Rattus norvegicus: one gene and its partner. The protein of the gene in region 1 interacts with the protein of each later gene in a biochemical or structural test. Links are inferred from orthologs where the notes say so. Each region holds a gene or a part of one and is shown on either strand. Other genes may lie near its edges. The genes, in order: Arfip1 and Arf3.

The links.
Region 2: the proteins of Arfip1 (region 1) and Arf3 form a complex in vitro, tested with the Homo sapiens proteins (2 studies listed by BioGRID). The link is inferred for Rattus norvegicus from reciprocal best matches to the Homo sapiens genes ARFIP1 and ARF3.

What each region holds. Positions count from the first base shown.
Region 1 is NC_086020.1:172,218,191-172,222,791, forward strand, and holds the start of Arfip1 (arfaptin-1), read right to left. Parts: upstream 2,976-4,601; 5' UTR 2,901-2,975; intron 1-2,900. UniProt on the Homo sapiens protein: Plays a role in controlling biogenesis of secretory granules at the trans-Golgi network. Mechanistically, binds ARF-GTP at the neck of a growing secretory granule precursor and forms a protective scaffold.
Region 2 is NC_086025.1:131,787,923-131,792,478, forward strand, and holds the start of Arf3 (ADP-ribosylation factor 3), read right to left. Parts: upstream 3,058-4,556; 5' UTR 2,866-3,057; exon of another isoform or gene 2,619-2,865; intron 2,126-2,618; exon of another isoform or gene 2,046-2,125; intron 1-2,045.

The DNA of each region.
Region 1 (4,601 bases):
GTACTTTGCCAAATTTAGTTCTCCCTCTATCCCAAATGACCATGCTGAAATTCAAGGTTCCAAACTCACTAGGCCAAGGTTAGATAGTCTCCAATCTTACAGGTGATAATACACACAATCCAACAAACTTGTATCCATCTCCAGAGAGGCCCTATCAGCTACTAATCTATAGGCCGTTTATCTATGTTACAATATAACATTCAAGGAGGTGTTCACCCGCCAAGGAGTAATAGAGGAAAAGATCCCTCATGTCTAAGATAATCAAAGAAGATATCTCCAAGTCATTCCACAGATTTTACAATGGAGTTTCCTAGAAGTTACCTAAAGTCACACACCTAAGGTCAACCCTGCCTCCACCAGAATTATTTTAAGCAAATTATCTTAGCTCTATGGGTCATTTAGGTTCAGTAAACTTCATCTACAACAGTAGCTCTCAACCTTCCTAAAGCTGTGACCTTTTAACAGAGTTCCTCATGTTTTAGTGACCCCCACCAAGCCATAAATTTATTTCCATTGCTACTTCATAACTGTAATTTTGCTACTGGTATGAATCATCATCTAAATATCTGTGCTCCGAAGGTCCTAGTCCACCCCTGTGAAAGGCTCCTGGGACCCTCCCCCCAAAGAGGTCATGACCTACAGGTTGAGAACCACTGATCTAAACAATGAGGAGGAGGGAGCATCCTTATAAGGTTGCTAGAAGGATGAGTTAATCATGAAAAGCACTTGGCACCATGGACATAGCAAATAAATGTATTAAATATACCTGTCACTTCGGTGCTATCCAGAATCTAGCTTCTAAATTTGCTTTTATTTCACAAGCAACTAGCTTAGTTAGCACTGTCTGCTCCACTAGGTGAGGATGCTACCCTGAGGGAAAATCATGACATTGTTGAAGAGAAGACAACTTACTATAAGCTGCGCAGGTAACACTGTGTGAATTGAACTTCAAAATGTTACAATTTCAACTTCCAAACACTTCACAGCCAAACCAGTAAGTAAAATGTGCTCCAAAGACTTACATAAAGCTTGGAAAGATCCTCATTTACAAGAAACAATAAATAACATACATAATACAGAATGAAGAGAACGGGGTATCAAAAATGCTGAAGCCATGTGGACTACATAAGACATCTTTGCCCTTCCTTAGGGAAGCCCAAGGCAGACATCTCTCTCCAGTTAAAAACAAGATAATGAAAGCCTAGAACAACCATCATTCCAATGCTTTCTTCTGAGTTGTACCCAGAGGACTGGTGATAGTTAGTATGCATTAAATAATGATAAGCACATCAGTGTAGAAAGCCCCTGTATTGACAAAGCAATGGACACAGCCAGCTATCCCTAAAAAGAAACCTCAAACCCACAAATCAGGAACTGACTTGGTTCCTTCTATAGGTCCAGGAAGGAATGTAGAAACATGGCAGTTTTTTGAAGTAGTGAGATTTCAGTACCAGGCTGTAATCCCTGCACTCTACTCTGTACAGCACCCAAGTAGGCCATGTGCAACTCGGGGAAACAACAGCTCCATGAATAAACTGTTTCGATTAGCTTCAACAAGACATTAAAACATACTTAATCTTGCTGGACATTACACATGTCCTTTAAGAAGTTGATAAAAGACTGCCTTTACCCAGAACACATATACAAACAGCACAGAATTTCAGGGGTAGGAATAGAAACCCCCTGAAAAATCACTGATACCTAGACTGAGACCGAACCCAGGATTAAGGCAAGCATAATCCAAGAAAAGTTAGCATTTTGTCAAACAGGAAACAAAGTAACTCAGGCAGAGCCTTTAATTCAGAAAATCATAGTGGAAATGTGCTGTTTTCCTATATACTAAGTGTTAGACTTTGTAGTAAGTGTTGGTCACAGTGAAGAAGGAAAACAAAAACGGAAATTAAAAGCAAATAAAAATAGAACAAATATAAGAAAAGAGTACAGCTGCAATACTTGCTCTGAAAGAGCAGCAATGAAATACAGCCATTCCTGCAGCCTCCAGAGAATTGACCAACCATCATCAGTCTGGTGCACCTTTCTTCAACAATCAAGTTAATCAGATGGCAAATGTGAACACACCTTCGCAGTTGTGAAAGCAACACGTTGATGAAAAGCCCTGCAATTCTTTTTCATTCTTTTTTTTTCCTGATCAGATAAGAAGCAAGTAAGTATACTTCAGGAAGGACACACAGAAATCCTGACAGGGTGATTAAAAGGATCTGCAGGAAGTGTAAAGTATAAACCTTTTGAGATCAGAGGATTCAAGAGGAAAATAAGAACAAAGCCAAGGAAGCAATAACAGGGGAGAAAGTCTAGAATCTAAACACTTAAATTAACACACACACACACACACACACACACACACACACACACACACACACGCCTCCTTTCCTAGACACGTAAAGTGTAGTTAACTTGGCAATAAGGAACGCACCAGAAGGCAGGGCCACAATTTCCTTCTCCAAACTCCAGCATTCCTAGGACGCCCTCACTAGCACTCAGGCTTGGGACCTTTCAGTCGGGGCGCCTCCCTCTGCACCAGTGTCAGGCAACCTCTCCGAGGGCTGATTGCTACCTCCCTTCCTCTCACAGCAGGAGAGAGGAAGCAGGAGACTTAGGGAAGAACGGAGGGAAAGGCGGCCCACTTGGACAGAGTCCAGAAAGACCCGGACTCTGCCAACTTTTCCCACCCACCGCCAGCACAGTCAAGCGGTGCCGCCCCGGGGGCCGGTGCTGCCCTATTTCACTCCAGAATACACTCAGAGGAATGGGGCGGACTTGGCTGCTCCCAGGGATGGAAGTGCCCAGGAGCAAGTTTGGCGAGAGTAGCCGTAGGCGACTCGTCCGTCCGGGAGCATGCCACCTCAACCCCATCCTTTCCGCCGCGGCTCCGCCCTCACCTGTCTGTCAGCAGGGAAGCCGGCAGCGCTCCGTCGCGGGTTCTCCCGGTTGCAGCAGCTCTCGGGAATCGCGTCGGCCTGAGGCAGGAGGGACCGGAAGCGCGACCGGGAGCTTTTCCTTCGTCTCCTCCCCCACGCCTCGGGGGCGGGGAGCAGCTGCGGCTGTCACAGGCTCTGGACAACCAACCGCCGAGGACACTTGCACCGGCGACCTCTCAAGCCGGCCTCCAGCGCTTGCACCCTACCCGCGGAGCCGGAAGTGAGAGACCGGAAGTGCGGGGTCTTGAGCCCCGGACAGCCTCTCTCTAGAAGCCAAGCCGGGACCCGCCACGTCTCTATGGTGCGCGCGCCTCTCCCTAGGGGCTGGGTCCTCTGGACTCCGCCCCGGGCCGCAGCCCTGTGAACTACATCCGGGAATCCGCACGGGCCGTTGCCCGGGTAACCCGGTTGCGGCGTGGAGCAGAGTCACTAGTTTGCAAAGTGCAACCCACCAGCCAGACAGTCTGTCCTTTTCCCACACTCATAGTCCGTGCCTGGAGGGTGGAGGTGGCCGCAGCTCACCACCGCGCAGCCGAAAGTTTGTCAGCCACGGGAGAGACCGGGCGGGAGGCGGAAGGGATGGAGCGAAGATGAATGTACACCCGCTGACAGCACGGAAGCCCGGTCCTCGCTTTCCTAGGTGTCTCTCTAGTTCTCCGCGACCAACGCACTCGTACCAATCTGTGCAGAAAGACCGGCATCCGTGAGCGTGCGGTTGTAGCACTGTTGCTGTGCTCCCCTTCCCCGCTGCTCTCTGACAGTGGCTCAGGGTACTTTTCTTCGCTGCTCTTCTCTTGCCAGCACCCAAGATCTGCCTTCCTGCTCATCCCCTCTTAATTAGATCGCCGTCGCCCTGTCCACAGAAACATTTCAACTATCCCTCTCTCAGAGCTCTTCTTGGCCGTTTCCTACCAGTCTTTGGGGTACCTGCGAGAGTCTTTCATATCCCCAGCGGCGCTATATAGAAATGTGCCAGAGCACATTTCCATTGAGTTCAATATCCCTGTACTGTCTTCCTCGGACTGGTTAATAGTAACACTACATACAATTATTTACAAAATGCACCACATACATTTTAAACCTAAAATGTATTGTATTGTCTTAGATTGCCAGCACATCAACTCTTACAAAAACAGTGTTGACATGCCCAAGCATAAATCTTGTGTAAAAGGGCCTTCCCGTTCTGAAACTGATCTATAAAGGGGGGCGGTGTGCCAATTCACTCAAACCGTAACTATCCTGCAGTATGTTGTGAAGTTTCCCACTCAAAGCCATCCTCCAGAGTTGGAACCCATTAGTCTTCGCTATTATTAGAAAGGGGCCCCTGTCTAGTGCAACTCCTGCTCTCATTCTGTAAGAACTGAATAAGACTTGTAGCTAAGTGCAAATGTCATCTATAGGGCTTCTGAAGGGTGACTTGGAAAAGATGTCTAGCAATGCCCAGTTGTGTATGAATGGTGTGGACAGTTAGTATTTATCAAAACTGGGTGTCTCCTTAAGGATGTCTGATGATGTCTCTTTACATTTAGGAATACTTGGCTTCTTGTATTGGTCGTTTGTCCTTAAGTGGTATACTTTCTCTGAGAATTGCTGATAGTTTTTAGGATGGCTCTGATGGACTTGGAACTAAGGCTAATTTTATTTGAAAAAGATGCTACTAGT
Region 2 (4,556 bases), on another chromosome or scaffold:
TGTCTGGAAGCCAGAGAGTAACTCTGGAAGAATCAGGTCTCTCCCTCCACCACGTGGGCCTAGGGCAGGAGGATGGAGTCAAACTCAGGTCTTCAAGCTTGCTGGCAGGAGCTCTTATCCACTAACCCACCTAGCCAGCCCCTCGGTGACCTTTCTAAGGAACACTACTCTGAATCACCACGCGCCCTTACATCCGAGAGGACGTTCTCAGCCCCTGCCTTGCCCCAGCTTCACTTCTTGTTGAAGCATCAAGAGCTAAAGCTATAAGCTGACACAGACAAGAATAAGGTGCTACCACTCAAAGGACACGGGGGAAAGTCGCTGTAACAACTGTCCCTTCACACAGGCCCATGCCGCTCTTCTGTGAACTTGCTTTTACAGCAGCCCCAAGTGTTGGTGTCATGCTATAGGACGGCTACAACTGCAGCTAACACGTACTAGGTGTGTGCTCTGTACAGTACTCAATAACTTACATTTGCCATTTAACTCCCATGACGCTGCCCTCTTTATGCACAAGGAAAAAGGAAACTTAAGTGTGAACAAGAAATTTATCAAATACATACAACAAGACAGCATGGGCAGGAGGTAAGCCCACCCCCATCTGGTCTGCTCCTACAACCCAGCTTCAGTTACTGTGGCATCTGGCCTCTAAAAGCACCATTAGCCAAACACATTGGTGTGTTCTGGCTGGAAGGCCTCTTGGTATCTATTTCCAAAGTCAGGTGAGGAAGCAGATTCCACAGTTTCTGTCAGCTACAGCCTCGGTTTTAAAGAAGTCTCTCCTTCTAATCAACAGAGAATGCCTCTGTCCTTTAATTCTATTTCCCCTCATTGTAAGTGCTGAAGAGGGTTTAGATGAACACATACTTAAGGTTTGAGAACCTCTCTAACAAGATTTCTCAACTGTTCAACCATCTCCAATGTGTCGGGGTTTTTGTTGGATTTTATTTATTTTGTTTTGTCTGAGACAGTCTTGCTATGTAACCCAGGGGGGCCTAACTCTACCTGCTGTCTACATCTTCCTAGCGCTGAGATGATAGGCCTGCCACCACACCTGGCCCTCTTTACCTCTTCCTTAAGCAGTAGCTAGAAACCTTGCACACTTCTACACATTGCTATCCCATGTTGTTCTTATAAAAGCAAGATTCTTAAGTTCGAACCCAGCCTGTCTGAAAAAAAAGGAAGTGAGGCTCTGTGGCGGCTCCCAGGTCAACCTCAGCGCCCAAGAGACAGAGAGGCACCAGCTGTTCGGTTGAGGCGAGCAAGGGAACTTCACAGAGAAACCTTGTCTCAAACAAAGAAGTAAGGGAGGGGGGAAAGGAAGGAGAGGAAGAAGGGAAGGAAAACTGTGCAGGAGTGATTATGTGACACTTTTCCAGCTGCCTCCAAGGTCAGTGACTCGTTCTGTAAAAAGCTGAACCTAAGTGGATCTTTCCTAAGTGGCCCTTTCTTTTTTTTTTTTTTTTTTTTTGTTCTTTTTTTTTCGGAGCTGGGAACCAAACCCAGGGCCTTGCGCTTCCTAGGTAAGCGCTCTACCACTGAGCTAAATCCCCAGCCCCTAAGTGGCCCTTTCTTAAAACAGCCTTTAACAATGTATTCAAGTGCTGGTCCAATATGCGAAAGACCAACCCATTGGCCACTCACTGCAGCACACCCCCAAACAGGTCTCAGACAAAATGGCAGCAAAGACAGTTTCTATCTACCTGTCTGGGGACAGAGATGGAGGTATGCAGAGACTAGATTCTTTCCTGTTGCAATGACTCAAGCAATCAGACTCCTGCAGCAGATCTCCTCCCAATAAAACTTTCATGCCATGGACCCAAGGGTGACCCAATCCAACAGCGGCAGAGACAGGTTTTACATTACCCGTCTCCCTCACCCTAATGACCTCACTATTTTCTTCTTAGTCCTGACCACATACTCCTCCACCACATTCTTCCTGGCCCAGAGACCAGCGGCAATATAACCCCCAGAAAGAATCAAGTCTCTCAACAGAGAGTTACGACTTAATTAAAAGACCCTGAGTTTTTAACAGGGAACATTACCTCCCCACCTCCCCCTCCTTCCTTCAAAGGACTGGCGTAAGCAAAGGCTTCATTTTCTGTTCCGGGAATCCTGGTACTTCCTAGAGAAAGAAAGCGGATTGGAAGACACAAACTCAGGGCCAGTGACAAGATGCTCCCTCCTTCGGTGAGACCGCCCCCGCTACGCCTGGGGGAGGAAGGCCCCACCTCTCTCCTCCAAGCTAGCTCGGGTCCCCCTCCCCCTTCTCCAGCCTCCTCTCCACCCTCTCCCCACCTGCTGCCCTCTTCCCAACCTGCCCTGCCCAACACCCCAAAGCAGAGCGCAACCTCCGTGAAAACCGTGCGCAGCCGTGCCCCCTCAGGAGGCCCTGATGCTAAGCCCCGGCCCCCATGCCTCGCGATGGGTGAGGGGGAATAACCACGGCAAGGCTTTTCTTTGGTCCCCCCACAGCTCAGGCGGGGGAGGGAGAGAGAAAAGGCAGCATTCCTCACAGCCCTTAAACACAAGGAAAAAGATCCTAACAGACACACCGCCCCCGCGTCACCTCCCACCGTGGGTCAGTTCCCCCTCCGCCCCAACCCTCCAAAGCTCACCTCTGCAGCCCAGGTCGCCCCCTCGGGCGAGGCCGAGGACAAATCCGTGTGCGCCCCCCGCCCCCACCCCAGCTCGGCGTCCTTCAGCTGCGGGGGCAGGAGTGGGACTGGGGTCCCCAGCTCTGCGAGGATCGCCCCCTGCACCTCGCCAGGCCGTGAGAGGCGGACCGCGACGAGGGACCTCGGGCTCCCACCCTGACCCAGCCTCTTCCCTGCCCGGACCCGCCTTCCCTCTCCAGCTCCGAACCTGTTCCTGCTCTCTGCGCCCCGGCTGCCACCGCCGCCTCCGCCCCCGCAGGTTCCGCCTGGCTCTCCGGCCGCTGCCTCCCGCTCCGCAAGCCGACCGCGGCGTAGCTGGTCCGCTGGCCCGCTCCCGGCGGCTCCCTCCTGCCCTCCCTCCACCTAGCACCGGAAGCCGCGACGGCGACAGGAGCTGTGCGGCGAACACCCACCCCCAGCCCGGGATACTTCCCACCTCCACGATCGCGCGAGAAGTGCGCGCTAGCGAGCGGCAGTTCTCGCGAGACCCATCACCATGGCAGCGGCTGCAGCAAAAGCAGCCGGTGCTGAAGCTGAGTCTAGGCGGGGGCCTGTGTGGGGGCTGGAGGAGCCGGAGGCACGGTGTGGAGAGGAGGCTGCGGGCACAGAGGTGAGGCTCCCGAGCTAGCTCCGGGGCCTTGCCACGTTCTGGCTGCCCTGGCCACAAGGCTCGGGCCATGGAGTCTCTGGGGTTTCTTAGAGCCTCAGTGGGGTATGGATAGCGAAAACGGTTGCTGTAACCTATCCTGGTCCAACTTTTTCCTAATAAACAGCGCTTCGCACGCACCCCACCTGCTAATCCGCTCAACTCCCTAATCCCTAAGGATACTTTCTTGGAGATCCTTTCTCATAAAGGAAGAAGAGAAAGAACGATGCATTCGAGATCGTAGAGGAAACCATCATCAGGATGCGGGTCATCTAGGAGGCTGAACTTGAAAGACAGTGGGCAGAAACTCAGAGACAGCTCTCATGAAGTCTCTCTAGATGAGTCTGGATTTTAGTATCCCAAGGAAAGAGGACCCAGGTCCCTGCCTTCCTTTCTTGACACTCATCTTTTGACATGACGGAGACACTGCCTGAGACTAGCCACAAGTTACATTAGAATCTGTGCTAGATGGGTCGTCACTAGAAACACTGAACACCGCTTTCTTTAAATGCATCAAGTACAAGAGCTTGGTGCAACATTAGGACTCGTCTCTCCTTCCAAAACATAGGCTGGAAAGTGACCGCTCAGTGTCTATACCTTGTCACATCCGTCTCTGGGCTATACCTTTATACCAGTTTGCCTTCTCTTGTTTACCTCAAAAAAATAACAGGACTGGCTGGGCGGTGTTGGCACGGGCTTTAATCCCAGCACTGGAGACTCGGGATGCAGAGGCAGGTGGATCTCTGTGAATTAAAGGCCAGCCCGATTTACAGAGCATATTCCAGGACAGTCAAGAAAAAGAAGGTAGGGGTTGGGGATTTAGCTCAGTAGGTCCTGGGTTCGGTCCCCAGCTCCGAAAAAAAAAGAAAGAAAGAAAGAAAGAAAGAAAGAGAGAAAGAAAGAAAGAAAGAAAGAAAGAAAGAAAGAAAGAAAGAAAGAAAACGAGAAGGTGAACTAAGACATAGACAACAAAGAGCTTGTTGATAACGAAGAAAACCATATTGGTCCCCATTCGGGATTCACTGCTGTTGAAAGCCTTTGTTAAGCTCTGGGTTTTGTTTATTTTTTTCGTTTACTAACGTGTGTGTGTGTGTGTGAGCATGCACACACGTGTGCTTATATGAGAGATTGTGGGTGCCCTTGCGCCCCTAGCAAGATGTGAAGGTTAGAGAGGACATCTTTCAAGAATCAATTCTTGACTTTTCCCTTGTTTGGGCAGGATCGATCTCTCCTTTCTGCTGTTGCACACTCTG